4 linked regions of the Drosophila melanogaster genome follow. Changing the gene in region 1 together with any one later gene gives a genetic interaction. Each region holds a gene or a part of one and is shown in the gene's direction. Other genes may lie near its edges.

Evidence for each region.
Region 2: of mi (region 1) and l(2)dtl, changing one suppresses a phenotype caused by changing the other (phenotypic suppression), as found in Drosophila melanogaster (one study listed by BioGRID).
Region 3: of mi (region 1) and Cul4, changing one suppresses a phenotype caused by changing the other (phenotypic suppression), as found in Drosophila melanogaster (one study listed by BioGRID).
Region 4: of mi (region 1) and CG5199, changing one suppresses a phenotype caused by changing the other (phenotypic suppression), as found in Drosophila melanogaster (one study listed by BioGRID).

The regions. Positions count from the first base shown.
Region 1 is NT_033778.4:23,521,611-23,530,084, forward strand, and holds mi (minus), read left to right. Parts: upstream 1-2,245; 5' UTR 2,246-2,526; intron 2,527-2,623; 5' UTR 2,624-2,739; coding exon 2,740-2,802; intron 2,803-2,859; coding exon 2,860-3,911; intron 3,912-3,973; coding exon 3,974-4,108; intron 4,109-4,168; coding exon 4,169-4,303; intron 4,304-4,366; coding exon 4,367-4,428; intron 4,429-4,485; coding exon 4,486-5,099; intron 5,100-5,203; coding exon 5,204-5,364; intron 5,365-5,424; coding exon 5,425-6,028; 3' UTR 6,029-6,642; downstream 6,643-8,474. Other genes in the region: RabX1, read right to left, coding at 449-582, 1,618-1,660.
Region 2 is NT_033778.4:23,699,702-23,706,904, forward strand, and holds l(2)dtl (lethal-(2)-denticleless), read left to right. Parts: upstream 1-2,775; 5' UTR 2,776-2,933; coding exon 2,934-2,976; intron 2,977-3,250; coding exon 3,251-5,517; 3' UTR 5,518-5,702; downstream 5,703-7,203. Other genes in the region: sigmar (salivary glands marred), read right to left, coding at 264-539, 597-889, 1,100-1,163; Alg3 (ALG3, alpha-1,3- mannosyltransferase), read right to left, coding at 5,830-7,076. UniProt on the Drosophila melanogaster protein: Substrate-specific adapter of a DCX (DDB1-CUL4-X-box) E3 ubiquitin-protein ligase complex required for cell cycle control. The DCX(DTL) complex, also named CRL4(CDT2) complex, mediates the polyubiquitination and subsequent degradation of E2f during S phase.
Region 3 is NT_033778.4:8,100,892-8,109,367, reverse strand, and holds Cul4 (cullin 4), read left to right. Parts: upstream 1-3,049; 5' UTR 3,050-3,351; intron 3,352-3,428; 5' UTR 3,429-3,518; coding exon 3,519-3,843; intron 3,844-3,910; coding exon 3,911-4,155; intron 4,156-4,216; coding exon 4,217-4,677; intron 4,678-4,728; coding exon 4,729-4,915; intron 4,916-5,013; coding exon 5,014-5,206; intron 5,207-5,264; coding exon 5,265-5,401; intron 5,402-5,455; coding exon 5,456-5,845; intron 5,846-5,906; coding exon 5,907-6,185; intron 6,186-6,245; coding exon 6,246-6,398; intron 6,399-6,461; coding exon 6,462-6,557; 3' UTR 6,558-6,760; exon of another isoform or gene 6,761-6,823; 3' UTR 6,824-7,108; downstream 7,109-8,476. Other genes in the region: udd (under-developed), read right to left, coding at 2,433-2,912; Tmem63 (transmembrane protein 63), read right to left, coding at 7,464-8,476.
Region 4 is NT_037436.4:20,448,663-20,455,262, reverse strand, and holds CG5199 (uncharacterized protein), read left to right. Parts: upstream 1-2,398; 5' UTR 2,399-2,590; intron 2,591-2,663; 5' UTR 2,664-2,687; coding exon 2,688-3,388; intron 3,389-4,005; coding exon 4,006-4,453; 3' UTR 4,454-4,731; downstream 4,732-6,600. Other genes in the region: atk (artichoke), read left to right, coding at 1-490; CG5910 (uncharacterized protein), read right to left, coding at 4,867-4,997, 5,628-5,753.

The DNA.
Region 1 (8,474 bases):
AAGAGTAAATACGGCAGCCAGGGCCAAGTGGGTGGTAACCCTTTGGCAATGGGCGAAGCTGGTGCTGCTGCTGCTCCTGCTACTACTGCCGCTCCCGTTTAGCTTATCAATAAACTATAAAAAAAAAGGAACGAGCTAACAAAAAAGAGAATAACACAAAGTGCAGCGGACGCACAAATTGCAAACAAAAAAGGACAAATAAAGTGACCAAAACAGTGGGCGGCGGAGACGGCGGACGAGAAGTACCCGCGGCGCAGCCAGTGGCAGAATAAACCCAGATTAGCGTTCCGGCAGCCCAGCCGGCAAATAGGATTAGTGGGCGCGTGGGGCAGTGGCAAATTCCTTTGGCTTTGCCTTTGGCTTCGGCTTTTTTACGAGGCAATTCCATTTGCGTTCGCCCCAAAAGAGTTGGTCGCACTGATACATATTCTGGCTGCTGTATACGCACTTGCAATTTAATTTTGACCTCGTCCAGGATGATGTTGCACGTGAAGAAGGACACGGCTATCGTGGGTACCTCGCTTTCCTTGCGGTGCAGCGTGTTCTTTATGTAGCGGATGACCAAACGTGTTTTGCCCACACCTGCAAGACAAGAACACAAATTATGCAATTAATCGAGAGATACAGCATTGTCTTTCTGTGTACCCGTGAGCCCTATTTCGCTTCAAGCATAATGCCGTGCAGCTTATCAGTGAACGTGGAATGGCGCACGCATTAATTGACCGCTGATTAATCACGCAAATTGAGCCGAATAAACAAAACAAAAACTGGAGACGCACTAGCCCGCAAAAGGTGGTAAACAGCGATAAGGAATCGCCTACCGACCACGAGATTCTTTGTTCGGCGCCCACTTTTTTGTGGCTCAGAGAAGCCCCTCTGTGTTTGATCAGACGGGGAATCTCCGCGTGGAGCTGCAGTATGTGCATGCACTGAATCATCCGGCGATTATGGGAAGAACGTATATTCCGAGGAAAGTACCGCCTTTTTTTTATCAATGCGTCCCTTTGTTTGGCGAAAAAGCAGAGCAAATACTGCACCCGCTGTGCATATAAGCCCCCTTAGTTGACCTTGGGCCAAACTTAAATACATATACTCATTGCGAATTCGTCAGCCGATTACGCTGCAAAAAATGTCCACTTTGTTGTGTAGAAGAGGGTAGACGGTGGAGGCTTCCCCCTTGATATGTTTTTGGAGTACAAATGTAGAAATGAACAATTTTAAGTTTCGGAGTTGTGCACTACGGAAGCCATCAAATTTGGCCCATTAACACAGATTTCTTATCGTAAATCCAAATCCCAAGGGCAACGTCATCTTGATGTGATGACATCGTGTGTGGTTAAATTCATCGGCTAGTTCAGCCTAATCCCAACCAGACACGCTGTCTTTGCCAGACTCTCTTCTGCATCTACCTAAATCCAGATTGCAGCATGCAGCCTGCAGATTCCCAATTGGGGCCAGTGGAGTTCAAGGCTACGGCTTATCGGCTCACCCCGGTTGTTAATCTTATCACTGGGCAATTGATGGAATTACTGTCATTATGCGGATCATTGAGACTTCTGAATGGAGTCCGCCGAATGGCCATTGAAATCGGAAACGGGTGGAAACGTGTGTGCTTACCTCGCGAGCCCAGAACAAGCACTTTGCCCTCGATTCCGCGCATCTCGCCGAGATTAGCGGCTCAATCGCATCGCTTTCCGTGGACTTTAGTGACGTTTTTTTTTTTTGTAAAATGGATGAGATGATGTGTTGTTGGCTCAGTGGTTGTTGCTGCTGTTGTTGTTGTTGCTTGCAGAGCCAGTGGTTGGGAAGCGCGTAATTGGCCCTTTGGCGGCCTGCTGCGTCTGATTTCTTGGGCACAACTGAATTTATCGGAGTCGGTGGGGGTTTTCAAAGCGGGCGCTGCGATTAAAAGCGCGCAGTCAGCAGTAAAGATAAAAGATTTAATAAATTTGAAGGCTTGTTGTTATTGTGTTATGTTATGCGCGAACAGCTGTTTACCAGGGCTGACACGAGGTGCGATAGTTGCTGCTGGCAGCGATAGCTGGTCTTGCAGAGTAGAATTTCGCAAGGAAATAACTTTGTTTCACAAGTAAATATATTCGTAAAAAATATATTTATGTGTTAGTTTGATTGGTTAGCAAGGATTCCAATCAGGAATATGACTACTAGAAAAATCACGACCCCGATTACCGCTTGGAAGATGCCACCCGATAGCAAAACTATCGCCCATCACTAATTGCATTTCCCAGACGCGTTAGTACCACCGCCAAAAGCAGGCAGATGTTCATACAGGCGATTTTAACAACAGTGTTTTATAGATAAATTAACAAATTAAAGGTATTTTAAGGAGCTAGACAACATGCATTAGGAGCTACAAGCTCGCGGGCACAACTGGATACTAGCGATAGGCGTGCAGCGTGCGACTCGAGCGCGTTAAATGTCCGCAAAAGTCAGACTTCTACGCGCGTTTTTCGCTTGGGTAACTTAGTTTTCCCCGACCTGGGAAAAGTGCCACATTTCCAAAAGGTAAATGCACTGCCAAGAAGATTAATGCGGCTAAGATAAGAAAATCGTCAGTGACTCCCCGTGCTTACTTTCACTTTTCTCTGCCCCGTCAATCTAGCCATTCGTCAGGCTCCACAAACTGGAGCAGCCTGTACAAAATGCCGCGTGCCTAAAATAACTTCGGGCTATAGAAGAAGCTATAACTACAACGAGAAATCTATTTTTATTCGAAGAATGGCCACTATTGGAAACAAGATAAACAACAGCTACGAATCGGAGCCTTCTACAGGAAGCGGGGTAAGACTAATTGGTGTCCTTGCGGTTGCGAGCTTGCTGAAACTTTGTGTTTTATAGTCTTCGCTCAGTGAAAACAATGAGAGCCACATATCTGACGAGGATCACATGAACTTACCGTATCTGATGAAACCGAAAGCACTGAGCAGCCAGCCCATCAAGGAAACCCCAACGCCACCCAATCCGAAGACGGGCAGCCAGGAATCGCAGTTCCTGGGCTTCGGAGACAGCCCATATGGCCAGGTGAACAAGCGTCTGTATGGCTCCCAGCTGCAGAACCTTAAGCTGCCGGAGGTGGAGCCCCCTGCCGTCCGACGTCCCTCGCCGGGCAAGATTGTCTTTCCCCGGTTCTACGACACCCTCATCGAGGAGAACAGCTGCAATGCCGTGGACATGGCCGTGTCAGTGGCCACGACAGCCACCACGACAACGGGCAGCCTCTCCTTCGATGGCAAAATCAAGAGCCTGACCGCAAAGCCCGAAATTCAGGACAAGCCTGGGCCCTCCAATGCTACGAATCCACGTCTGTCAAACGTGCTAGAAACCTCGCTCAACACCTCGCAGCAGAAGTTCAACAACGAACGCTCACCTGATCTCTTTGCCGACAGCGACGATGAAGCTGACAACGACGAGCAACCGGAAAAAGAGCCGCCCACCAGGCTGGAGGATCTGCCCGAAGTGTTGGAAGAGTCGCAGTGCACCAGCGACGCACGAGCTCGCTCCTCGCTGAATGCTCCCACGGAGTCCAGTTTTGTGGATGAGCAGACGATGGACCTTTCGAGCACCCAGCTGAACGCCAACGACCCCCGGTCGCACTTCTTGGAGAACTGCAGGAGAGAACGGGAGCTGTATCGGCGGATTCGTCGCTGCCTACAGGGAGTTCGTCCGCCGCCCTCGGTGACTGCACCCGATGTGGACGTCATCAAAATGGTGCTTAGCATGAAATCAAACGTGCTAAACTTTCTCTCCAAGGATAGCCCACCATCTACACCCAGAATCGAGGACAGTGGCATTAGCGAAACAACCTCACTGTTTCGACCATCTCACAGTCTCTCGGAGGCTCAAAACATGGGCTGGCGGGATGTGCTGGGAGTAAGACATCATGGACTGAGGTATGCTCTTTAAAGGATTCGTTTGTGCTTGCAGTGTTTTCATTACCCGCTTCCATTCACAGCTACAATCTTAACAAGGCTGCCGAACAAAATGAATACCTCAGCATGTCCGTGGTGGACCGCTATGTGGGCGTGGAAACCGCGACGTCCTATGTGAGATCGCCATCGAGCGCCAAGAAGAGAAACATGCGTATGAAGTGAGTAATAAATTAGTCAGCCGTGTGAACGTTTAACTCACTGAACCCAACTCCTTACAGAATGTTAACCCAATCGCCTGGCAATCGCCTCAGTCATTTGGCCAAACGACGTGCCATATTTTCATCTGCGAATCTAGCCACCAACTCACAGAAGCTTAACAGCTCAATTGGACCACAAATAATGCTAGATAAGAAGTGGGTAGCTTTTGTGATTAAAAACTCCAAACACATACTAATTTCCATGATTTTGGCTTACAGAAAAGTGCGAAATAAACGCAAGGCCACGCCCAAGCGAAAGACGCCGGGCAGCAAGAAAAAAGGTGAGTGATTTGATAAGATAAGCCAATGTACTTTTGTTAATGATGCATTTGCACCAGCTCGCAAGACGCCATCTTCATCCGCCCGAAAGCGCCTCTACCGCACTGATCTCATCAAGCCAGGACCTTCGAGAGAAACCTCTAAGCGTGCCTTATTCCAAAGTCCGGCCAAAACCCTGCAGCAACAGCAGCTAATGCCGCCCAAACCGCTCTTCAAGCCGGAGATTGCGAACCGCGTAGAGCGGTCGAAGCGCGCTCTCTTTTCGCCGGATCACCAGGGCAGCAGTAACCAGCTGGAGTCGATCCTGAAGCGGAAAAGAAACGCCTGCGATGACGACGAGGATTCAGCTGATTTGGCTAGCCAGAGCAGCAAGCTCTTCCGGGCCGAGAGCAGTGGACCCAGTGGGTTGACTCCTCGCGCTCTAAAGATCAAGAGCCAGAGTTTCTGCATTGGAGCTGGTTCCTCCACTGCGGGTGTTCAGCTAAAGTTGGCGCAGCACGCGGCTGCTACCCCTGGGCAGACGCGGCTCAGTCTTGGCCTGAGCGGCAGCAGTAGCAACCTGGTTAACCCGGCATCTTTTGCAAGCGGTACGCCACTGGCGAGTAAACTGCACAGAGCGCACTCGGAGATGAGCGCCACACCGAATAGCAGTATGACTGATAACCAGCGAAAGGTGAGCCTCTATTTATCTATACATCAAATTATGCCTTTTGTGTATGGTTTATCCCTAAGATTCGTTCACTTAACCGTCATAACTAATCTCGTTTATTGCCACAGAAACTCCTTTGGGCTGTGTCGCAGGCACTGCAGGAGAAGAAAATTACGCCGAAGCACGAGCAATTCCGTCAGCATGCGGCAGACCTTACGCGCATTGTGAAGCGCATCTTCCAGGAATTCTACCTGGGACATTCGTCCAGCAACAGCGAAACACTGCTAAGGTGAGTAAGGGGTGGATATAATACTCGTATAGGCACTATTGGAACTTCCACCTTCCGCAGGCTGGCCAAGAAGTTTGCCTTTAGCGTGATTGCGGGGAAGAATGCGGACGACGTTTACCTGCAGGCGCGCAGTCAGGAATGCGAGGCCAAGCGGTTGTCGAGCACCCGCCTCTCGGGCTACATCGGTCCGGAGGAGTTTGCCCAGCGTAAACTGCTTCTCTCGCAAACATCGGTCGTAGGATCAGCAGCAGGTTCGGCGCGATCCCTGCACAACATCTTCGGCAGCGAGAACTCCATCGATTCCTTCGGTCTGAGTCAAATGAGCCTGCCCACAAATGCCTGCTCCGAAACGCAATCGAGTATAGTGGATCGCATCTCGGAGGATCTCTTCTGCAAGGAACGCCAACCCATCCGGCCCAATGCCTCGCTCCAGAACAGCTCGTCGAAGAGTAACCTAGGCGGACTCGCGCTGCGCGAGAACATGGACTGCGAGGCTCGCCGTTCGGCGCAAAAGAACTTTACCGGCAAGGACCAGCAGAACATCAGTCCCTACTTCGGAGGCGGCGGAAGTAACAGCTCTGCGCGCAAGTTCCAAATGCCACCCGTGGGCAACAGCAACCACTCCGGAGGCAAGGCCAAGAGACAGATTTCCTTTGACTGCTAGAAGAGTAGGGCCAATAGGATAATTGTTGAAACGTCATTATCATAATATGATGCCCATAAATCCTCTCCGATCCCTTGAAATTCTAGGAGCAGAGGCAAGGAGCTGCCCGACGTGTAAATGAGTTTTAGCTCTTTAGCCTTGTAAGCAAAAAGATTAACTCGTTTTTGTTTCCATTATTTTTTGTTTGTTTTAGCTTAATTTATTAATTCAACTGTCAGGTCTCTTTAAACCCTTTCAAACCATTTATATATAATGACAGACAATCGTATAATAATAGGTATAAGTAAAATAATCTGATATAGATCTTATAGATCGCCTCTTCTTCGACTCGCAAGACTCCCGACTTTTCCTTGAGCTCAAATGTAGTTCAAATGCAAGTTAAATTTCTTTTAGTAACGGCATACATACATGATCTATATGGGATTTATTTTATGCGACTCAAATTTGATGAATGCAATATTTTCCACTGAAGTTTAGATGTATTAAGAACATTTTGTGCTTAAAAATTACAAATTTTACTTAACTACCGCACGAGTACTCAATGCAACTGAAATTAAGCTGAAGCAAGTTCTGTAACAGTGTAAACTGAAATTAGTATAATAAAAGCGCCCCAATCAATAGTAACCACTGCGGTGAATGTATCGCCTAACCAGCCCAAAGGACACGATGTGAAAGATGACGGCCACCACCACCAGACTGAAGCAGTCCAGCCAATAGGTGTAGTCGGCGGTGCGATAGGATCCCTGCTGCAGCACCTCCACTCCGGTCTTGATGCACGGATGATCCTCGTTGACGGGGCAGTCTGGATAAAATATTATTGGATAACATGCATCCTGATTATCTACTTGGAGGTAAGCTCACCGATATTATCGATGTCGATCCAGAACTTGTACATCAGCGCCTCGTTGGAGTAGAAGAACAACGAGAGGTACTTTAGTCCAGGCACTGTGTCCACATTCATGTAGGTGCCGCCAAAGATAAGGAAGATCAGATCGAAGGGCGCCGCGCACTCGGAGGCCATCTTATCCGACTCGAAGAGGCTGGAGAGGAAGACCCCATAGCCAACAGCCGCCACCGCGGACAGGCTCATCAGGAAGCCCATGCTGAGGTACAAAAGGAAGCCGCGCGTGTAGTATATGGAGGCATATATCACCGACAGGAAGACGTAGCCCTTGAAGAAGGCCACGGGCACGAAGGAGAGCACCAGGGCCACGTAGTAGGCGGACAGGCTGTAGGTGCCCTCGCCCACCTCCCGCCTGATGATGGGAAGGGCGGCGGGAAATATATACGTCACGCCATAGCTGAACGTGAAGATCATCTGGGAGAACTAGATAAGTGACTGAAGGTGGAGAGGAGAGAAATGCACGCACCTCGTTGCTGAGCATGAAGATGGATCCACCGACGTCCTGCACCGTCCGTTGCGTGAGTCCTCCAATGCCGGAGTACATGAGGGATAGTGTTACAGCGGTGATCTGCAATTAGGGATTACAATACTACCTAAATTTGGCACAGCGTTTGAGAACTTACCATGAAGAAGCCAAAGGCGATGAGCCCACTCCTAATATTCCGCACATCCTCGGTCATGAAGCGCACCATCAGGAGGTACACCTGATATATCCACCTTATTTTCTTGCTGAAACATAAGAGAAGTTTTGAAGAGTCAGTTTTTATTCCTCAAATTAATCACTTTAAGGAGTTACAAGTTCTGGACGTGCTTCAGGTAATCCCCGCTGTAGCTCCGCGCCAGCAGCCAGCTCCCGCTGTAGAGTCCATCCGTCTCGTGCTCGTACTTCGCCCGGAGCACAGCCCCCGCGTTCTCTTTGCCCTCCTTGTCCGCCAGGGTCTTCAGGTAGAAGTCCGCAGGATTGCAGTTCAGCGGGAGTTCGTAGCCCAGGCTAAAATGATCAGGATGTAGAATGGAGAAGGAATCTCGAAAGGAAGGAGCCCACTCACTCTGTAAAGAACTTGGCTGCCTGCTCGGTGCGTCCCTTGTAATGATGAACTCCAATTAAGAACACAAGTCCGTTTTAAGTTGAAGGCAGCCGTCGGGCTGACATATATTTATTCAATTTCTTCTTTTGATTTTAGAGTAGGCAGAAATGGTTCTGTCAGCTCAACGTCTACCGAGTCTCTCTGATTTTACAGTTTTTTATATATTTGGACTTAGGCTAATCCGCGTAGCTGCGCTGCCGGGTACGCCAGCAGCGGAGCGGCGTTCTTATGTATATCTTATATATCTAGGCTTATCGGGAGAGCGAGATATGTATGTACGTATGTAATATGTATTTGGTCGGCGTGTGAATGCTGACCATGCACTTATACTTTTTGCCTTCGAGTGGGTGATCATGTTACATCCGCCCTGGCCTAACTGCGTGCATAAACATAAACATAAACATAGCAACAAAGTGCTGCCATAAGTTAATATGCTATTTTATTTAATTGTTCT
Region 2 (7,203 bases), 180 kb from region 1:
CTAGTTGAACTAAATTAAACTTCTCCTTAAACCCATGTCTTTTTTCCATTCTTTCCCAGCTCTGCTTCATCTCTGCCGCTGCTGGCCCATATTTATACCTAGATTTTGTATTTTGGTGGTGATGGTGGTGGTGGTGGTGTTGGTGGGTGAGCTTTAAGCAAGCGTTTTCCATTCGCAACTAGCTACTGGCTGCTTTTTGGTTTCGATATATAGCCTTTCGTTCATAGCACGCAATTGCAGCTCAGCTCGCTTTGCGAATCTCCTCAGATATCTCCCGTTTCCATGGCTGCGTTTATGTCCGCCACAATCTTTCCCATCACCTCGCGGTAGGGGGAATCTGGTCGGAAAGCCGTCTCCAGCAGCGCCTCCTCGCCGAAGAAATCGAACACCTCGTCGATGCGGCCCAGCGACTTTTCTGTGAGATGCGGCTGCACAATCGACTTCAGCGCCACTTGCGATTCGGCTATTGACTTTTGCAGGTACGGCAGGTCGAACGTGAAGTCCACTTCGTAGAATGATATGATGGACAGCTGCGTGTTCTGCAACAAAAAAAAATCATAATAACATGTAGTTAAGGAGTAGCATTTAAGACTCACTTGAAACTTTCTCTTAAAGAGCTCCGCCTTCTGCAGCTCCTCGTCGCTGAACTGATTGTTCCGGTGGAGCACACCGATCTTGATCACAATCTTGATGATGTTCTTGATCAGCTTCTCCGCCTTGGCCTTGTTCCCCGTGTGCATCTTGCAGAGCCTGTAGAGGTTGTCCAGCAGCGACGCCGTCGTGCCATCGATGAAGGTCTTGGCGATGTTTTTTGTGGCCATGCGTGAGAGGATCTTCTTCTGCGCCCGCAGCCCGATATCGTGCGACTTGAAGACATTGTCCGCCATGACTAAAGCGGATGGGAGGGGTGGGATTGGAATTCAGATTCAGACATTATTATCGCTGCATATTCATTGACTAAAGCATTGTGGCAAAGAAATACGAGCAGTACGAGCAAACAAAACGGAGCAACAACTCAGCAACCAAGGAAAACTTAAAACTGAACACTGAATGGTGGCAACTGAAAAGCAAATCAGCTCCGCTCTTCTCCGCGGTTTACCTTCCAAGTTCCAGTAGTCGACGCTCCACAGCAGCAGACATTGTCGAAGCCCGGCCACCGACATCGCGACTATATATCACACATATATTACACCGATTCCAGTTGCAAGCATTGATAAGGGAATTATAGACAGAGATATAAAAACATGAATGATTGGGCCATGTACATCAGCGCCGTATCTTTAGATAAAGGAAACCTGGTTCTTTCTTCGCTGTGCTTCTGTGTTTCTTTGTGCTTTACGTGAAGTGGGCAATAAAACAGTCTGTGTGGCCTACGTTTAACTACAATGAGTCACTCAAATGCAATTACTTTTACCTATAGTGCTGGGAACTGAAACATTGGAGGAGAGTCCTGTAGGACTGAAGTCTGTTTAGACTAATAAATGGAATCAACTAACATAAGTCACATTTCTATTTAAAGAACAAAACAAAACGATTAATGTACGCACAACTTTATTTGTAACGAATAATTTCTTATCGAGTGTTCGTCACAAGCTTTTAACAAACAAAACAGGAATCTAACGATAATAAGACATTCTGGGGAATTCGAATTGGGTTATCATCGTAAACACAACATAAAACGAATAAATTTGATATAAGGAATTTAATGTACAGTCAAAGTTAGAGCTCCGCTGCTCCACAACTTTGCTGCTTTCCACACACAGATATAGGAATGCTGCCGTATTAATAATGGATGACCAACTGCGCCCCTCTGACCGTATCTATAAGGTCGTTCTAACGGCGCGGCGTACGTGCTGGAGCCCGAAATGGAAATGCGGCAGTGCTTCCAACTGTCCAAACAAGGAGTCCCGATCAGAGCTAGTTGGGTGACGGAGTGCTGGGGGGAGGAAACCGCTGGCGGGTCAACAGAGTTCAGACACACATAGGTATTAACTAGAAGTCGTGACTAAGCCTAATCTGGAGCAGGGCATCCCTGGTTGCTAATTTAACTAAGTGAATGCCAGTTCCAGTTAGATAACGCCCGGCAATAGAACCGTGTCAGGACACGGACTGCTCCAAATGGCTAAGGTCACGCGAAGTGCAATAAAAGAAGGCCTATCCCTTCAAAGGAACGGAGTGTGGGTCCCCCAAGGACGCCAGTGGAGTGCGGAAGTGCGCTACAGCCGAAACCACAGAGTACTTGAGTTCGTTGGGCCATTCTTCTCCTGGCTTTCCTGTTTGTCCTGCATTTGCGTGTTCCGTTTTCGCAGCAGGAGGGTTTCTTTACCTTCTGGGTGTTATTGATTGCAACAGGCTGTGTGTGATGCCCGCCCCCTTGAAACCAGAATAGAAATCCAATTTGGCGCTCACCTGTTTTTGTTTTTGTTGTTGCTGCAGTCCTTGAATCGAATCCTTGAGTCCTTGAGTCCAAGTATGTGTGTGTATGGGTGTAATGTGTGCTTGATGACCAGTGTCCGCAAATCGAAGTGCTAGCGAAAGCAACTGAAAGGGGTTGGCTGCATTAAAGCCCGCGAACTGCGTACAATTTGCAGCTAAATTTATGCGCAACTTCGATTAAACATAAAACAACTCAGCGAACAGCAACAAAAACAAAATATCAGCCTGTGAGACCAGCTGCTTGTAGCAACCAAATGTTAGACTGAAACGAATCAATCTTCCGTGGCTAGTATTATTTTCACTTTTGGCGGTTCTCCAGTCTTTCGCAACAGAATGCGTTTACTTCCCATCTGAGCACGGTCACACTGCCCAAGAGTCCAGCTGCGTCGTTGAAAAATATTTTCGATGCCTCGAAGGTTGATTTATTTCAGAGGAAATAGCAGGAAATAAAGTTGAAAACGCAGATTACGAGCAGCAGCCGCCAAGAGGAGTGCACAATGAACATTTACAACAAGTTGCGGGCCAGGGAGCATGGCTACGGTGAGTCTTTCGCTTGGCGGGAGAATCTCACTTTTGGCGCTCGAATTTCCTGCGATCAAAGGTGTTGATTTTTAAAAGGTTTCAATGGGTTTTCCTGGCCATCTGGTCAATGTGCATCCTGCACGGCCACCTGACCACAGAGCATTGCCTAAGGGGTGAAGAAACCCGACTAGTTGCTCCACTGGAAACTGCTGATCGTGCAGAAGTTCCGTGGAAAACAAAGCCACGGCACTATTTTCATGGTTTCTCCTCTGGTTTTCGTTTTTCTTTTTAGGCAATGAGAGGACCTACGACTTCGCCCTGCGCCGCCTTTCCGTGGCCAAGGAGGACAGCTGGCGGGGCATCGCGCCGGCCAACTACTGCCCAGACTTCAATCCGGAACCGCCGATCTTCTCCGCCAAGTTCGCCAACTGCGATGGCTATCGGCACATCCTGGCGATCGCCAACGAGGACGGCAAGATCACGCTGCAGGACACCACCCAGCGCAACCACCAGCCGGAGGAGCAGTCCCTGGTGGGCCCGCAGTGCCACTTCAACGCCGTTTTCGATCTGGAATGGGCACCCGGCCAGATGCGCTTCGTCTCCGCCTCGGGCGATCACACTGCCAGACTGTGGGAGGTGGCGGGCTCCGGCATACGCGGCCTGAACTCCTATGTGGGTCACACAAGGTCCGTCAAGTCGGCGGCCTTTAAGCGCACCGATCCCGCTGTCTTCGCCACCGGCGGCCGTGATGGCGCCATTCTCATCTGGGACATCAGGGCCAATCTCAATATGGACCTCACGTCACGCGTGGACAACTGCATCTACAGCGGTCACACGGGCGGACCGGGCACGCCAGTCTCACAGCGCAAGCAGCGCACACGCACTCCCAAGATGGCCGGAGGAACCACCTCGAGCAGCATCACTGGCTTGGCCTTCCAGGACAACGATACGTTGATCTCCTGTGGTGCCGGTGACGGAGTCATCAAGGTGTGGGACCTGCGGCGCAACTACACAGCCTACAAAAAGGAGCCACTGCCCAGGCACAAGCTGCCATATGCCGGCAGCTCCACCTTCCGTGGATTCACCAACCTCATTGTGGACGCGTCAGGCACGAGGCTGTATGCCAACTGCATGGACAACACCATCTATTGCTACAATCTGGCCTCCTACTCGCAGCGCCCGCTGGCGTGCTACAAGGGACTCCTTAACTCCACGTTCTACATCAAATCCTGCCTCAGCCCGGACGGCAAGTATCTGCTGAGCGGAAGCAGCGACGAGCGGGCTTACATCTGGAACCTGGACCACGCCGAGGAGCCGCTCGTTGCACTGGCCGGACACACGGTGGAGGTAACCTGCGTGGCCTGGGGCTCCAGCCACGATTGCCCCATTGTCACGTGCAGCGATGATGCGCGTCACAAAATCTGGCGGATTGGACCCGACCTGGATGGCCTCAGCGAGGCGGAGCGGGCGGAAAAGTACCGAGGAACTGCCTCCTACGTCAGGGAGTTCGGCAAGAAGGCATTTGGTCCGTCTAGTGGAAATCACAAGTACAATCTTCGAGATCTGGAGTCCACGCCAAGATCTCTGAAGCGCCTTATGGATCAAAATGAAAGGACGCCAGGTTCCGTGGAAAAGACGACGACCAAGCGTTCGTTCCTGGAAATGCTGGGCGTAGCTGGCCAGGAGACGGAAGCCACAGAACAGCCCCAGAAACGGGCGAAGCCACTGGAGTCACGTGGAAGGCGGCTCTTTGGACCTTCTAGCCAGGAAACTGCTTGCAGGCACATACAACTTCAGTCCATAAACGAGGAAGATGCCTCGCCGAGCAAGAGACAAAAGGAGAACTCTGCCGCGGAGGATGTCTCACCACTGCACAAGCTTCTCAGCACACCAAGTCATTCCCCTTTGAGTGAGAATGTCAACCATGTGTACACCTCCCCGCCAACCACGTCAGCGGCAGCAGCAGCGGTGGCTGCAGACGCGCTTAATCCGCCGCCGATCTCCGCTGCCATCTACTCGCCCACCTCCAACCTGCCCAATTACGTGCTGGATGGCGAGGCACCGCACCTGGGCATCATGTCGCCCAAGCGGAAGGCGAAGGAGAAGGTGGACTGGCTGACGAATATCCGCAAACAGAAGCTGATGAGTGGCAGGGCCCATGTGACGCTCAGCGAAAAGATCAGCGAGGAGCAGCAGGCCGATGTGCTGGCATCCCCGCGCCTCCAGAGTCTGCGGCAGTCAGAGTGCAGTCCCAGGATACACGCCTCGCCCCGCAGACGCATCTCCCATACGGACGGAGGCGGTGGCACGCCGGCTGGCAGCTCCTCGCACTCCCATTCCCAATCCCAGCCAAAAACGCCCACTTCCAGTAGGCGAAACAGCGAGACGACGCTCCTGCGATTCTTTAGCATTCAGAGAAGTAGCAGTGTGCCGGCGGAGGAAACAACGACAACGAATGCGGCTCCCTCCTCTTCTGATCCCCATCCCCCGGCAGTGACTGCGCCCGCAGCCACGCCCCTCAGCATGCGCACGCCCACGACGGCGGTGGGCAGCGATTGACGCGGAGCCTCGAGCCACAGCACCATTATTGCACTTGTAGTTTTAAGCGGACATTGTTTAAGTTATTTTATGTAGATAGTAGGTTGCATCTATCGCGGGACGAGTTGGTAACCAACTCCCCGCCCTCTGTACAGAGCCAAAAGATACGAAAGACTAACGTACCCGAATAAAAGTAACTCCATTTTAAAGCTGCCTTGATTGATTCTCTAAAAACTAACTCGTTTAATGTACTGTTTATTCAATTTTTTTTTTGGCATAATCAAAACGGTTTATATGTGGCACTCATGGCTAACAAGTGGCACTCAGACCATTTTACTGCAGCTTTTTCTGTTGCTCCTGCTGCTCCCTCTTGGCCGCATTATTAATCCGCATGGTCTGGACAAGCTGCTTGGCCACCCCAGCGAGCAGTATGATGTGGGTGAAGTGAAGGGCAGCGCTGGAGAAGTTCGTACTGGGATAGGTGTTCCAGCAGTACTCAATCAGTCCGAGGATCAGGCAGCGCACGCCCAGCGAGTACGGCGTCGACCAGGCCAAATAGGGTAGCGAGTGGAAGTACCAGACGTAGAACTGATAGTGCAAGGATCGGGAGCAGGCCACGCCCACCAGGTTGCACAGGAAGAACGGCAGCAGGGCCAGCTGGGTGCAGCGATCGAAGTGGATGCCATAGCGTTCCGGTTCCGCCTGTGCGGGTGCCGGAGTGGCCTTTCCTCCAGACGCCTTCTGCAGGCTCTTCTCGAAGGCCTTCAGGAAGGATTGCTGCTCGGTTGTAAACTTCTTCTGGTCCTTGTCCTTGTCCTTTTCCACTTTCTTTGGTCTTTTCTGCGCGTTCAGCTCGAGGTTCTGCTGGGCTATTTGCGGCTGCAGCTGATCCTCAATACGGCGCAGGCGCACGTAGCTCTGGAAAAAGGTCCAAGTGGGCTTGGCGAAGGCCAGCAGGAGCAGCAGATGCAGGCCCAAAAGCGAAACGTGGAAGGTGCGGTTCTCGAACAGATCTCTGCTCAGGAAGCGATAGTTGACCGTCCACTTGTGCTCGAAGATGCGTCCCAAATCAAAGCTGCCCCGCAGATACTCCACAGGATGGGTGAGCAGGAAAGGAGCGCCCAGCAGCAGTTGTATCACTCCGCAGACAGCCAGCTGCAGGATCGTCCGCAGAAGTCCCAGGTTGGCCAAGTAGAACAGCAAGAGCGCAGGCGCAAACAGCAGGATGTTCATCTTAACGCCCACCGCCAAGCTGAAGAAGGTGCTACCCAGGGTCCACCTTCTGTCCAGGAACAAATTGAGTGCGGCATAGAGGAGCAGCACTGCCACCGGATCGTTGAACAGTCGCAGCACGTATATCGAGTGGATCCGATACGACGTGAAGGCACTGAGCACTAGCACATACGGCGGCACCTTTCTGCTCTTCGAGTACAGCCTCAGCACCAGGGCCAGCTGGAGCAGGTAGATCCCGGCGAAGATGTACTGCGCCAGGCGAACGTTCGTTCCGTGGGACGTGACGTAGTAGAGAGCCGAGTAGATGTACACGAAGGCGGCTGGATACACAAGAGGTCCTGTGTCGCCTAGGAAATCGAAAATCGAAGAATTTCAATTATCATAAATTAGATAGAAGGAATGCAATTAGTCATTGTTTTCATTCACTAAGCAGTTATTTCAGTCTGTTTGGGCCTGGGAAAACTATTATATCCA
Region 3 (8,476 bases), about 15 Mb from region 1:
AATTAATAACTGATTGAGCATTTTTCAACAATTTTCTGCCAATTAGCATATCGTAATTATTAGAAAATCTGTGCACATAAAATGGTTCGGTTTTTTTGAAAATACTATTTCTGGGTAACATAATCAAGTCGTTCAAGGTAATAGGGCCATTTGATGTTAAAACTTCACATCTACTATTTTGAATGGGAAGACAAAATATATTTTCATTGATCATATTAATTGTTGATCCTGTGTCTAGAAGGCATTTGTATGAGCGCCCTTTGTATACTATTTTTATGTATTCGTATTTTCCGGGGCTGTTAACCGAAAATTTTCGTTTAGTTCAGAATTATTTTGGTTTTGTTTGTTATTAATTTGTACAGATTGGACTTGTTGTTGCCCTTCATTAATGAAGCTATGATTTTGATACGGATTGTATTGATTTTGGTTAAAATACTGTTGCTCGTAATAATTAGGTTGGACTTGTTCGAATTCATGCGCGTCTTGGAATCTAATTTCGTCAATAGACATTTTAGTTTGTTCACTGTCCGATGGTCTTAGTCGTTTAGTAATCGGGAAGTTAGTATTTTTATATGTAGAGGGTTGTTGTAGTCGAGGGTATGTATTTCCTCTAAAATGCGTTGTTTGGGGAAATTGGGCTTTGTTGGGATATTGTTGGAAATGATTTTTTTGAATAATGGGTTGTGGGTTTATGTATTGGTTGGGTCTGAAATAATTAGGTGCGTGCCACATGGGTGGGTTGTTAGTTATCTGCTGTGTATAGCTAGGTCTAAATGGTTGAATGTATTGATTAAAATTAGGTTGGAAGGGTTGGGAATATTGTGAGTAACTTGGTCGATTTTGAGTTTGAACATTTGTATTGAATTTTTGTGTTTTCGAATTCTGGTTAGAATTTGAATTTTTATTACGATATTCTGGTTTTTCATAAAATTCAAAATTAATGTGTTCTTCATAAATTCCCTCATTTTGTGCAATGGTAATTAAGGATCTTAAGTCTGTAATATCGTGATGGGCTAAAATAGTGAATAATTGTATTGGTAGTTTCCTTATCAGTATCTTAATAGATTCTTTAATACCCTGAATATAAATAAGAAAATCCGATTGGTTACCTTCCAGGTGTAGTTTCGAAATTAGTAATTGACGTCGTCTCTCCGCTTCTTCGCAGAATGCTCTTAGGCTTCCTCTGTATGGTGTCTCCCTGAAGTTCTCCAGAAGTTTGTAGTTTGGTGTTTGAATTTTAAATTCCGCGATGAGTCTTGCTTTAAGGGTAGGCCAATCTTCGATGTTCGGAAGTCCCAAAGATCGTGTAATTTGTCCGTCCAAGTTCCTTTCGATGGCTCCCAGTAGAATCCTCTGTTGTCGGACATCATTTGTTTGGTAGAGCGAAATTACGTAATCCACTCTGCTGATAAAGGTGTGAAGGGTTTCTGGATCACCCTTGAATGGCATAATGTCTTTAAGCTGCCGACGGGCTTCGGCAAGGTTTATGTCGCTCAGCGCAATAATTGGTTGTGACATTTTTATTGTAAAATTTTTAACTTTTGTGTTTTATTTTTTTGTTTTGTTTCGGATTCAATGTTATTATTATTTTTAAGCTTTCTAGTTTCACTTGTTTGTTTTTTTTTGTTTTGTAAATTTTTGTGTTGTATTATTAAAATTCTATATTGTTTTAATTTTTTATTTTTATATGTTGGTTTTAAAACTTAGTTGCCTTTGGACTTAATATTTTTGTTTCGTATTTCACTTCCACTTATTATTGGATAACCGAATTGGAATTATAATCCAAGTTGAAGAGTTTTCACGAATTTATTTTGGGAGATGTTTCGAGCACTGGACTATAAAATTTAACTTATTTTCCACTCGAAGGTTCTTTTTTTTTCGGATACTTTTGTATCCTACCGACTGCGCCAGTAAAATTGTTGTTTTATTTATGAGTCGAACTAATGTCCCGTCAGTTGACTAAGGACAACGCCAAGAAATAAAAAATAGTTTTTAGGAGAAATAGTTTCACGACTTTATTCTTTGGATCTCAGCTTAAGACTAAAAATCAAATGCAAATTGGATTGAGGAGAAGCCTCAGTATTTGAACAATATTTGTATTTCGGGAGAGCCTCGCTCTTGGGTTCTTAAGATTAGGTAGCGTTGAAAGAGGGCAGTCAAATCTGCTTAGGTCAGGCTTTAGGATGTTTACAAGAACGGCTGCGCTGCCAAAGATAAACGAATGCTGCGCAGCTGGGATACGTTATGGAAAATTACTAGAGTGCATTACTGATTTCTTTGAAATAATGGAAGTGGCTGGTTTGGACCACCCAAATACGTCACTATATATTAGTGGGATGGACGCAGTTTTAATAGGCAATTTAATATGCGTTTTTTTATGAGGTAGTTATATTATATTTCTTGCCTAACTTCGTCGTTATTAAAAAAGGTAACTAGGATAGAATAGCATTTAATGAATCGTCTAATGCTATGTCTTCATCTGTGGGTCTCGTCGGAGGAGTCGGCTCCACTCGCAACTGCTCCATTTTCGTGTAGAACTTTGGGCACTTTTGAAGAACCTTGGAGTATTCCGTGAATATTTGAAAGGACGCCCTTTGGAGCAGCGTTTCTCCCATATGATTGGAGGCCAGTATTTTTGCCAAGTTCTTGTAGTCCCGCTGCATAAGGCAATCCCGGGCCAGTCGTAGTTTCTCGTACGCAGTGGATCGTCGAACGCTGAAGTAAAACTCGTTACTGGCCGGAGGAGCACAGGATGGGTTTTGGTTCACCCAAAAGCCATCTTCGGGACTGGTGGCGATCTCAAGCGTGCGTTTCAAAACATTTGCGGGTATCCTTCTGGCTGGAAAATTCTCACCCTTTATTTTACGCGGTGCAGTTTTCAAAGGCGATGGCTTCTCATCTTTTGTTTTCATTTTATATGGCGAAAGCGAACATAAATGCGTCGCGAACACAATGCGTCGTGCTAACAGTGATAGGCAATGTTAACCTGTTTCACACCAATATCGATAGGCAGTGCTGCCCGCTGAGCTATCGATTACCCGCAGCCAATCGATGTTTTGATTCGTCCGATATCCCAAAAAGCAATATTTTCCGCATGCAACCAAAAGCGAAATAATAAAATGTTGCCTGTGTAATTGTACTTCCGAAGTTTTGTCGATTTGAATAGTCTCTCAGGCGTCGAAGGAACCCCATTTGTCCAAAAGGACGCCGTTTGTCGGAGAAATCTACTTCGCAGCCGGAAAATTCACAGGAAGTCTATTTGCCTTGAGTTCGCAAGTTGCCAATTTCTTGACGACCCCAGTGCAAAAGTCGCAAAAATATTACGAATATTTGCTGGTAATCATTTCAAGGGTACGTATCGAAATACAAACTGCAATCCCTTCCCTTAAAGGAAAAGCCAGCAATCAATAACCGATCTCCACGCCCAGGACTAAGCAAAGCCGGTGCGACGAAAGCAGGGCAGGATCAGGAGAGCAGGAGCGGAGTGGAGATCCTGCTGGCAGCAGGGGCCCTAAGCTATGAGTGCGGCCAAGAAGTACAAGCCCATGGACACAACTGAGCTGCACGAGAACACAGAGAATATTGCCGCCTGCCTGAAGAAGGCCGAGAACGTCGCCCCCACCGCTGCTGCCGCCTCGAGCGTGGGCCGCAGTGCCTTCGCTGCCCAAAACATGAATTCTGCGTCCACCAACGGCGAGCGCCTGCCAAACTTCTCCAAGCTAGGCGGCAGCCATGGCGAGATCCGCACGGCTTCAACTACCTCAAATCTCCTCAATCGCATGGGGGCTATTCACAACAGCAAGCCTGGCGATGTCAAGAAGATAGTGATTAAGAACTTTAAGGGTAGGTCCCGTCTAGATCTCAACTGTTTGTATACTGCATGATTCAACTTCCTTCCTTCCTTCCTTAGATAAGCCTACACTGCCCGATAACTATTCCAAGGACACGTACGTGAAGCTTGAAGAAGCCGTTATCGCCATCCAACTCTCCAAGCCCATTAAATATTCGCTGGAGGAGCTCTACCAGGCGGTGGTGAACATGTGTAGCCACAAGATGGATGCACAATTATACGCGAAACTCAAGGAGCTAACAGAGCAACACGTAAAGCGCAATATTAAGCTCAAGGAGCTCACCGGCGGTAGCATGGACAAACTGGTAAGTTGCTGTTTAAGGAGCACATTTAAAGGTTTACTCGTCAACTTTTATTGTCTTTTAGATTTTGCTGGAAAAGATCAACCACTGGTGGCTCTCGTTCTGCCAACAAATGATCATGATTCGCAGCATATTCTTGTATATGGATCGAACTTATGTGCTGCAAAATTCGACCGTTCACTCGATTTGGGACATGGGGCTGGACCTTTTTCGCATCCATTTTGCTCAAAACAGCGTTGTCCAAAAGCGAACCGTCGACGGTTTACTAACGCTTATTGAAAAAGAACGACAAGGCTCCACCGTGGACCGTGGTTTGCTGAAGAGCTTGGTTCGCATGTTATGCGACCTGCAGATCTACACCAGCTCCTTTGAGGAGAAGTTCCTCGACGCAACCAATCAATTGTATAAGGCTGAGAGTCAACGCAAGATGCAAGAACTGGAAGTTCCCGAGTACTTACAACACGTCAACAAGCGTTTGGCCGAGGAGAACGAGCGTTTGCGTCACTATCTGGACTCGAGCACCAAGTATGCTGGCGAAGTCAATAATAAAAACAATTATTAATGCGTTTTTTACAGACATCCACTGATTTACAATGTGGAAAAAGAGTTACTTGCCGAACACCTAACGTCAATATTGCAGAAGGGCTTGGATTCATTGTTGGAAGACAACAGACTGAGTGACCTTACACTGTTGTACGGGCTGCTTAGTCGAGTCAAAAATGGAACATCCGAGCTGTGCGGCAATTTCAACGGTTTCATTAAGGTATGGATATGTTAAGTAGTATAAATTTATTTAAAGATACCTTTGTTTTAACTGCAGTAAAACATATTAATAGATCGCGCTAATATACTTACTTTCAGAAAAAGGGACGCACCATTGTCATCGATCCCGAGAAGGATAAGAGCATGGTCCAAGATTTGCTCGATTTCAAGGACAAAATGGATGTGATAGTTCGCACCTGCTTTGAGCACAATGAGAAATTCACAAACTCGTTGCGCGAGGCCTTTGAGTTCTTTATCAACCAACGTGCCAACAAGCCGGCCGAGCTTATTGGTAAGCGCCCACTGTCACTATATTTAAACGAGTTTGCTAAAGTTTATTCTTCCATTAGCTAAATACGTAGATATGAAACTGCGATCTGGCAACAAGGGAACCACAGATGAGGAGTTGGAAAAGACTCTAGATAAAATCATGGTTCTGTTTCGTTTTATACATGGCAAAGATGTATTTGAAGCGTTTTACAAAAAGGTTGTGTCCATCTATTGTATGTCGAGCATTATTTAATAACGAATACCATCTTAGGACTTGGCCAAACGATTACTTGTGGGCAAATCGGCATCAGTGGATTCCGAAAAGAGTATGCTCTCCAAGCTTAAGCAGGAGTGCGGTGGAGGGTTTACGTCCAAGCTGGAGGGCATGTTTAAGGACATGGAACTGAGCCGAGATATCAACATTGCGTTCCGCGGACACGCGTTAAGCAACAACCGCGATGTCCACAACTTGGACTTGTGCGTCAGCATTCTTACCATGGGCTACTGGCCTACATATGCACCTACAGAGGTCACAATGCCGCCACAGTTCATCAATCCTCAGCAGATTTTCAACAAATTTTATCTGGAAAAGCATAGTGGGCGGAAGTTGCAGTGGCAGCCTACATTAGGAAATTGTATGCTGCGTGCTCAATTCGATGCGGTAACTACTAATGGCTCCTACTATGTTCTATGCGATTGCAATGTTTACGTATGTTTCACAGGGACCGAAAGAATTGTTGGTCTCGCTGTTTCAAGCGCTTGTGCTTCTATTGTTTAACGATAAGCCAGTTCTGAGCTACGAGGAGATATTGGCCGCCACCCTCATCGAGGATGGAGAGTTGCGTCGAACACTTCAGTCCCTGGCTTGTGGGCGCGCCCGCGTCATAACAAAAACACCGAAAGGCCGCGAAATCTTGGATGGCGATCAGTTTGATTTTAACAATGAGTTCACAAACAAATTGTTTAGAATCAAGATCAACCAAATACAGATGAAGGAGACAGTAAGTGGCTTTAGTTTTGATGTAATTTGCACACACTTAATCTTTCCCCTTTTCCATTAGAATGAGGAGCAAAAGGCGACGGAGGAGCGTGTGTTTCAGGATCGTCAGTATCAAATTGATGCGGCTATTGTGCGCATTATGAAAATGCGAAAAACGCTGAGCCATAATCTTCTCATCACCGAGCTGTTCAACCAGCTTACCTTCCCTGTCAAGGTCCGTATACTAATCCTATTTGTTCTAAGTAGAAAGAAGCTAATATGTTCGTTGGTATTCCAGCCCGCTGACCTAAAGAAGCGAATCGAGTCGCTCATCGACCGCGACTACATGGAGCGAGACAAGGATAATCAAAACCAATACAACTATGTGGCATAAATGGCCACAGATTCTGTGAAATCCGAACACCGATTCGATTGTAATTCGCTCTATACCATACACATACATACTAGCAGTCTAATGAAGTTTTTGGAGTGCCCTCGTCCGATCGGCGATGTTCAGAGTTTTTCAGCTGTAATTTCGTTTCTATAACTAAATCGTTGAACAATCCGCCAGCTAATAGTGTAGCGACAGTTCTTTTTGTAAGTTACCTTATCATACAATAAATTAAGCGTTTATTTTACAAGCCGAGTCCTTTGAAATAGGTCATCGCCCTCGGAACGTCGATGCCTCCAGCAATTTAAAAAAGTTTTCGAACCGAAAGCAAACTAGGTGTTCAATAAACTTATTTATTGGACTTATTCTAATTTGTTTACTTTTAATTGATAATTCTCCTTCAATTAACAATAGAAGTGACATTTGCAGGCTAATTTTCTAAAGGAAACATTAAAATAATTATAACTCGTACTAGTAGCTCTGTATGCAAAAAAGAGATACGCATAACTTAATAGTTTTTTATTTACCATAAATAAAAAATTACTTGAAAATATAATGCACTTCGTGTTTCATTTGTAAAATATTACCAGCATTACTGCTTCAAAAAATCAGCGTCGAGCCCTTTGTTAAGCAGTTAGCAAAGGAATATAGTATATATACAGTTACAGATAAAATTGGGAAATTAGGTAGATTATATACAGATCAGAAATAAATATTGCTATCGCTTTCGCGTGCAGGGGTCATATTAAAAATGACATTGAGGCTGGTTTAGGTATCACAAATTGCCTTGCTGTTATCCTCCTGTCATTCTTTCGTATGCAAATCAAAGCTGCCAACTTGAAAAGTTCTTAGTGGCTTTTGTAGATATATTACAAAAATATTTGTAGTGTCTCCCGACAATAATACCATTTACGCCTCAACACTGTTGACGCTGTATTGTGAGCTGTCGTACTCGGACACGCTGTCGGAGCCGTAGCCCCCAAATGCTGCCGCCGAAGGTCGCACACTGCTGGTCCTTATCCCATTATCTTTCAGCACATCGGGCACGTAGATGGGTGCCGGACCGGCAATTTCCACAATGCTTGGGCGGCGCGTGGCCGCACACCGCTTAATTGGTGACATAAAGGTGAACAAAGTCAATGTGATAGCCAGGCTGATGATAAGCAGCAGGAATCGAGCCATTCCGTTATCGCCACGGAAGAAACAAATCATGGCCATGACCAGTACCAGGATCACGACCGAGAACTTTGTCATCGTAACTGCAGTGGAGTGGATCTTACCACCCTTGCGTGATATCATGTTTGACGGACCGTAGGCAAAGTAGAGGTTGTGGCGATCCACGAAGTGTTTTAGGCAGATGTAGATCATGGCGAACGGCATAATCAGCGGACAGGCAACGCTATACACAATGGCTATGGTGAAAACGAGCGTTGTCCAGGCGTAGTGCGTTCCGAAAGGAAACTCGATTAGAATAGCCTTACGAATGTACGGCGTTTCGGCCTTGGATTTCGCCTTTAGCAATGACCAGATATATACAATCAGCTCCGGGAAGCGTAGCAGCTCCAACGCTGTACCGATAAACGCAGCCGTAATGATGTAGTTCACATAGAAGGAGCCGCGATCCGGCAGGAAAATGCACTGCCAGCGATCAGTCTGATTTAAGAATCCCCACTCTAGCAGCGCCTGTGCCGATGTCAGTCCGAGGGAAGGCAGAATCATGATCATCATAAGCAGATAGCCAAAGCACTTCGTCATGATTGAGTAGTTCTGCTTGGAGCGCGTGTAGTGCCGCATCCACTTGTCCGAAATGGCAACAATCACAGGCATTAGAGCCGAAAGAGTCCAGAGCATCAATGTGGGCAGGAAGTCGGCAACGAGGGGCGAGATCTTACCCTCTGTTTCCTTTACCCATGGTCGACTGT
Region 4 (6,600 bases), on another chromosome or scaffold:
TCGTTCCTGGGTGACCACCACAACACCTCAGAGTCCGAGTGATAATCAAGTAACTCTAGCTGGTCCAACGAGCACAGTACCACCACCGCCACCAGCTTCTCCTCCACTACGAGGTGGAGGACGGTCCACCATTACCAAGGTCTACACGCCGTATCAGCAGCAAGTGGCTCAGCCCACGGCAGAGGAGTATCAGAGAACCACGCCCAGTGGTGATAACGAGGGCGTGGCCAGCGAGCATCAACTCACGGCTAATGCACAAAAACGCACGGAACTGGAGCTCCTTCAGGTTGATCGTGTGGATCGCAAGGACGGAATGGATTGGTACTACGAAAGCTTTAAGAAGAAACGAGACTTCAACGGTGGAGCTGCTGTGCGGAAAACAGCCCACAAGGAGGTATTCTACGACGGAGTAGCTGCCTCGTCCAGCTGGAATCGATTGCACAAGGAGATTCTCTTTATCAGCTTGTTATTGTTGTGGAGAGCGTGTTGAACGGTTTTTAAAGCTATTTAATTTAGACAGTTGAAATATTTTATTTTGTACACATAAATAAAGAATTTATTTTATATATAAAGAAAAACTTTGTTAAAAGATTGCGATTTAGCACGTGGCTAGACTACCTGAAAAGTCAAAAAGAAAACCTTTATTAGTAATCTATATTTCATTCATCATAACTAAATATGCATATTTTTAATCAGATGGTGATGCATGTTAAAAAGATTTCAACATAGTTTTTCTGAGTTGGGTATGAAGTTGTCATCAAGAAGGCAGTTTAAATAAATAAATAATATTTTACATTGGCAATACCTTTTAGGTTTTTCCAACCGAATCAGTTGTAAATCTTGTGAAAGTATCATTAGTTTATATTTCCTGCAAAATAAAAGAGAGAATATAAATTATTAATTGGCCCTTATTGCCTTAAAATTTGATAAAATGTACTTGATTCAGATGGTGATGCATGTTAAAAGGATTTCAACATAATTTCTCTGATTTGAGTATGAAGTTGTCATCAATTAAGGAGTAAGAAAACATTTAATTTAGTGAGGATTTACCTTATCACTGGTTCAGTCAAATTTCAGTTTTGAATAGGAATCCCAATATCTGGAAATATTTCTGTAAAATACACAAAGACTGTTTAATTATACAAATACTATTATACATAAACTAAGTTTCAATATTTTATTCAGATGGTGATGCATGTTAAAAAGATTTCAACATTATTTCTCTGATTTGGGTATGAAGTTGTCATCAATTTGGGAATTAAAATAATTTGTACTCAAATGGTGCGGAGGATTACATTACCCTTTAAGGGAGATCAAGGCATGATTAGATTGTATCCCAGGCTCCCGGCTGTTTTCAATGCCTGTAAAAATACAAAAATATTACACTTGTAAATTTATAAAACATATTTTTTCCACAGTTTTTATAATTGGGAAACAGCAGATTTTCATTTCTTTGCCTATATATACGGAATAGTCAAGCACACTTAACTTGTGCACTAAGTAATTACGTGGAATGCTCTTCACATTTATAATGTATCACCATGTAATTTACCATAATTTAAAATCTTATTTAACCCAACTTTAACCAAATGCCAATTTTATATTGTTAATGACAAATGTGAATATGCAGTTATCTTTCCTTTAACCTAATTTTTTATCCATTTTGCAACATGATGTATGCATTGGGTAGAAAGTCATTATGGGTTGTTAAATAAGCTGAAACAATAGTATTTCTTGTAAACTTACCCCAGAATATTTCTAAGTGTCTCCAGGTATCTCACATTGCACCACGTGTAAATGGTGATCCATTCAAATTGCCGTTCTGGTGCGGTATGTGTATCATTTTATTACATTTATCATTGCATCAGTTTTTAAAGGAGACGAGCCCATACGGTCAGCTTTGCATGCGTTATATATTATAGCAATCGGTTTCATTTTATTTTAGTTTTAATTAGAAGCGCGCTGACGACCTTTACCAAACGAAATTCGGATAGAAAGAAGGCAGAAGGTTGCCGGATGTCCACTGAGTTGCCGGTGCTTTGGGGCTGCCAGACCTTTTGGTTGCATAAAGAAAAATATTTATATTAAACATAAATTAAACATAAATAAGCTTTTTTCTTGAAAATAATATAATAAATAATATGATATAAATAAAACAATACTATAAAATAATACTAAAATATTCACTTACTATTTAATTGAATACATAAGAAGGCTCATCTCTATAAGCAATCATGCACTGATAGGATAATTCTAATTTCTAACCTCAGTTAAAATAGTTGTGGAGCTAAAGTAAAACTATAGACTTTTAACTGCACATATACTAACTATTTAGACGGTATTAAATGCGTGTACCATATCGGTTAACAAGCGATACCATCGCAAAAGAACTCCCATCTCCAGAGCGCGCTGCCACCTTGAGCGAATTGGCGCAATTTAAACAAAAATAAGGGAAAAGTTACAGTTGCTGCCGCGGTAGAGACGCTAGAGGAGAAACTGCAAAAACTCCAAGTGTCAGGAAGATCCACCAGATCCGTCCACGTCGAGATTGTTTGGTCCGCTGCGAAGATATAGCGAAGCATCCAAGTGGGTACGTCAGGTGGAGGGTGGAGTGAAAATGTTTATACAAGCCTGATGCGTATGCGAATTGTATTTTTCAACAGTCCGCATCGCAATTTGGATTAGCAATGACGACCCCGCTGCAGACACGAATGGCACTGGCCGAGATTCCCGACCGCCTGGAGGCGCTGCGTATGGCCAACACACCGACGAACTCCAATCGCCGGACTCCGGATGAGCCGACTCCAGCGGCCATCATAAACACTCCGAATGCTAACGGAGGACTGGGACTGCGGGTGGACAACGATGTAAACGTGGTGCAGGCCCAGGACTTTGTCTTCTCTCCATTGCCCTCGCCAGATGAGCTGGTCATTCGGCAGCGTGGTCGCCGTCGCTTTACCACAACATATTCTCCAGATAAGGTCAACGGAGGTGGTGGCGCAGGAGGAGGTGCCAGCGGTGGTTCCTCAATGCGTAGTCCTTTCCAGCGCACGCCCACCAAGAACTTTCAACTAACAAGCGGCATGATCCTGCGCAGCTCCCCTCGCAAACGCCTGACCATGGGCAGCACTCCGCCAGAGCCCACACCAATGGATACCTACTCGCCCATCAAGATGGCCACCACCAAGCAACTTTGGCCGGGAACACCAGTTGTAAAGAAGCTAAAAATGGAGGATAGACCTGTGGGGCAGACGAACACAGATGCGACGCTACCATCCCTGTTGCAGGGTCTATCGCAGGAGCAACTAATCGATTTGATCATGAACAACATTAAAAGTGCCAGTGATGAGGGAGAAATACGAACGCAGCTGCCCACGCCAGACATAAGGTACGTTAACCCTACGTTACATTTGGTTTGGACAGTTGCTACCATAAAAAGTATATATATTCTATTTAACCATGTCCGTCCGAAGGTCCGTCCGTTTCTACACAATCTAGTCACTCAGTTTTAAAGCTATCTGCAAAAAACTTTAGCAAACTGTGATCTTAACGTGTTTAGGTATACAAAATCTATAAACAATCGTTAGACGGTATGATATATGAATCTGAAATAGAAACTGTCGGAAAATGAATTTAAATATAAAGGTGTCGTAGTTTTTTTTTATATGATTGTAAAGTGTTTTTATTCGGTTTACACCAGTTTCTTGACAACAATCAATTTGTTTCCCTAGAAACAATCAAAACAATTAATTGAAAATAATAGAATAGACTAGTTTTTGATAGTATAGTGTATTAAGATTCGGCTTCCGGAAGTTACGTACCTTAGTGCTGTCTATTCTCCTTTTAAAATGAATTTGTGAAAAAGGGTACATAGGTTATGTAAAGGTCAAAGCAACGAGACGCTTAATAATCTCTTCACAGATGGGTGGTGCGTTTTGAAAACCTAGAAAATAAAATCCAACAAGCAAACAAACATATACATAAATCGTTTTGTCTTGTTTTCAGCGCTTTGGAGCAGGATCTGCACCATGCTAAGCGGCTCATCTTCAAGTCCCTTCCCACCTCCCGGCTGTGCAAGAAAACCGATGCGGCGGCCTACTCCAAGGCGTCGATGCATCTAAACGAATTTAAGCGGGTGCTGCAATCGCAGGCCAAGCGCCTGCACGACTCCACTCACTGGGACGCACTAGTGGACTACGTATCCATGGCCTGGCAGTGCGTGGCTAGTACGCCCAACTGGGAGAGCCATGCCCACAATGCGGTTCGCCGGCAATGCTTCAAGCTGTTGGCGTGCTCCTGCTATGCGGCCATTAAGCACGGAGGAATGCGATTGGGTCAGCTGCGACTCGAGACACTGGAACGCAATTTGCGCGAATGGTCCAAGGACTATGAGGACGTGCTGTCCTGTGTGAACGCCCTGCAGCGTACGCTTAACAGCCGTAGCAGCTTGTAAACACTGTGGAGACTATAGACTTTTAAGGCCGACTTGCTGAACTTGAGGTTTAGTGGACCGAATTTAGTGTGTAAGGCGAAACTTAGCCAGTAAGCGTATGATATTTGGCGCAGCACGTGTTATAAAATATTTTTTAATATGTTCCTCGACATGTTGTCCTATTTAAAATGCACGCAAGGAGTTACTTCATTATTTAGTGATCTAAGCCACACGCTAACTAAAGTCTGTTAGCATTATAAACGTGTATTTATTAACGCTTAAATATATGCTTAGCAAGTAAGTTTGATTACCACTGGACATTTGTTGAACTAAGTACACTTATTTGAATGCTACTACGACTAGATCCTACTTCTCTATGACTGACTTCACGCTGTACAACAAGTTTTCTCACATCATGACTTCCCCTCGAAATCTTAGCTTTGCCAAAATATTCGTCTCCTTCTTCGGCAGGTGAGTATACTGAATGCAGAAAGCAGGTTCAATATTAGTAGCACTAACACATTTGGCACGTGCTGGCCACGAGAACTGCCGGAAATGTGACGCCCTGGAAGTAGAGAAAGAAAAGTGCAGATTAACTTGTGTGTTCCCTTGGCGGAGTAAAATGATATGCAACAGTAATATATTCACTGGAAAACGGTTGCTACTTGTTGATGCCGCTTTTCACATATTCATTTATGAGCGAGCTCCCATTTAAGGCAAAGTGTTATGTTTATTATGAGAATCTACTCGAAAATTTCTTGGTATAAACTACTCACAACGATAATATACAACCAAGGCTAATTGCCCTTTCGAATTTATAGCTCACCATATATCGATGTTGTACTATATGATTTAGAACGCGCTTTTGACGCCCAACAAAAAATTTGGTGTGAGCGATTTCAATTAGCATTATAAACTAAATATAATTAGCATGGTTCGATTTTCTGCCAGCGAATGATATTGACGAGATCTCTCTGGCATTTTTTTTTCTGGCTTGTGTATATTTATCGAAGGCGCCGTGTGGAAATTGAATATAATCGGGGAAGTATGTTTACGTTATTAAATTAGCATTGCTTTGTTAATCCCCCTTTCTCATGTGTGGAGTGGCATGGGCATTTAGCACGGATATATCAAGCTACCAGATGAGGTGATTCCACGAATGCCCTAGGGGTTGGCAGTTGTATCTAGTACTTACACTTCTTGATCCAGATCTCAGCACAGCAGCACTCCTTGACCTGGACGAATGTGAAGCAGGATTCCACGGATGATGTGTGCACCTTCTGATCCGCGAAGCACACGTGAGGCACATAGGGCAGGCCCTCTGAAAATAAGGGTACATTTCAAAATTAGTTTCTAATAATAAACATCCATCAGTTTTTCACTCACAAAACTAATATAGCCAATAAATGGTTGGAAAATCAGCACAATATTTAGAATATTCAATGTGTTGCCCCCGTTTCGGAATCAAGTGCCTAACTATTTATAATAAAAACCACGTAATTAAAATATACAATTTATGGAATTTTTCGCTTTGAGTAGAAACGGAAATCAATAAAATAGAATATGTTTATTAGTAGCTGCGCGCACGAAAAGGCTGCAATAATTTTCAAGAAAATATAAATTGCGGCGAGTGACTAAATATGAGCGGCATTGTTTTTCGATCGGATCATAGCATGTGTTTGTATTATTTTCCGTTTGGCCTGTTTATAGTTGCTCATTTGTTTATAAAACTCAACGTGTTGAATTTTATGAAGTTCGATGTGTATATTTTCAGGAACATCGTCGAATAGAAGAAGAAAAGCCCACACAGAGAATAGCCAGTTGTTGTTGTTGTTGCTGGTGCGTGTCGCAGATATTTATGCAATTATAAAATTATTACCTAATGTAAACAGACACGGACAGCGTGTAATATGTTGGGTCAATTCAGTGACTGCCGCCCTGGCAATTGTTAATAATCTTTAGCGACCGGCGACTGACAAGCCGAGGACAATGGGGTAACAATTCAAATCGACAGATTGTTCAAAAAGATACTTAAAGTGAGATTGATTATACTAGGAGGGAGATACATATGTATGTACATATGTAATTGTGATTATCAAGGAAAATCAAAGCGATTACTTTCAAAGCAACTGTTGTGGCTCACATTTCATAATTAATTCAATTACAAA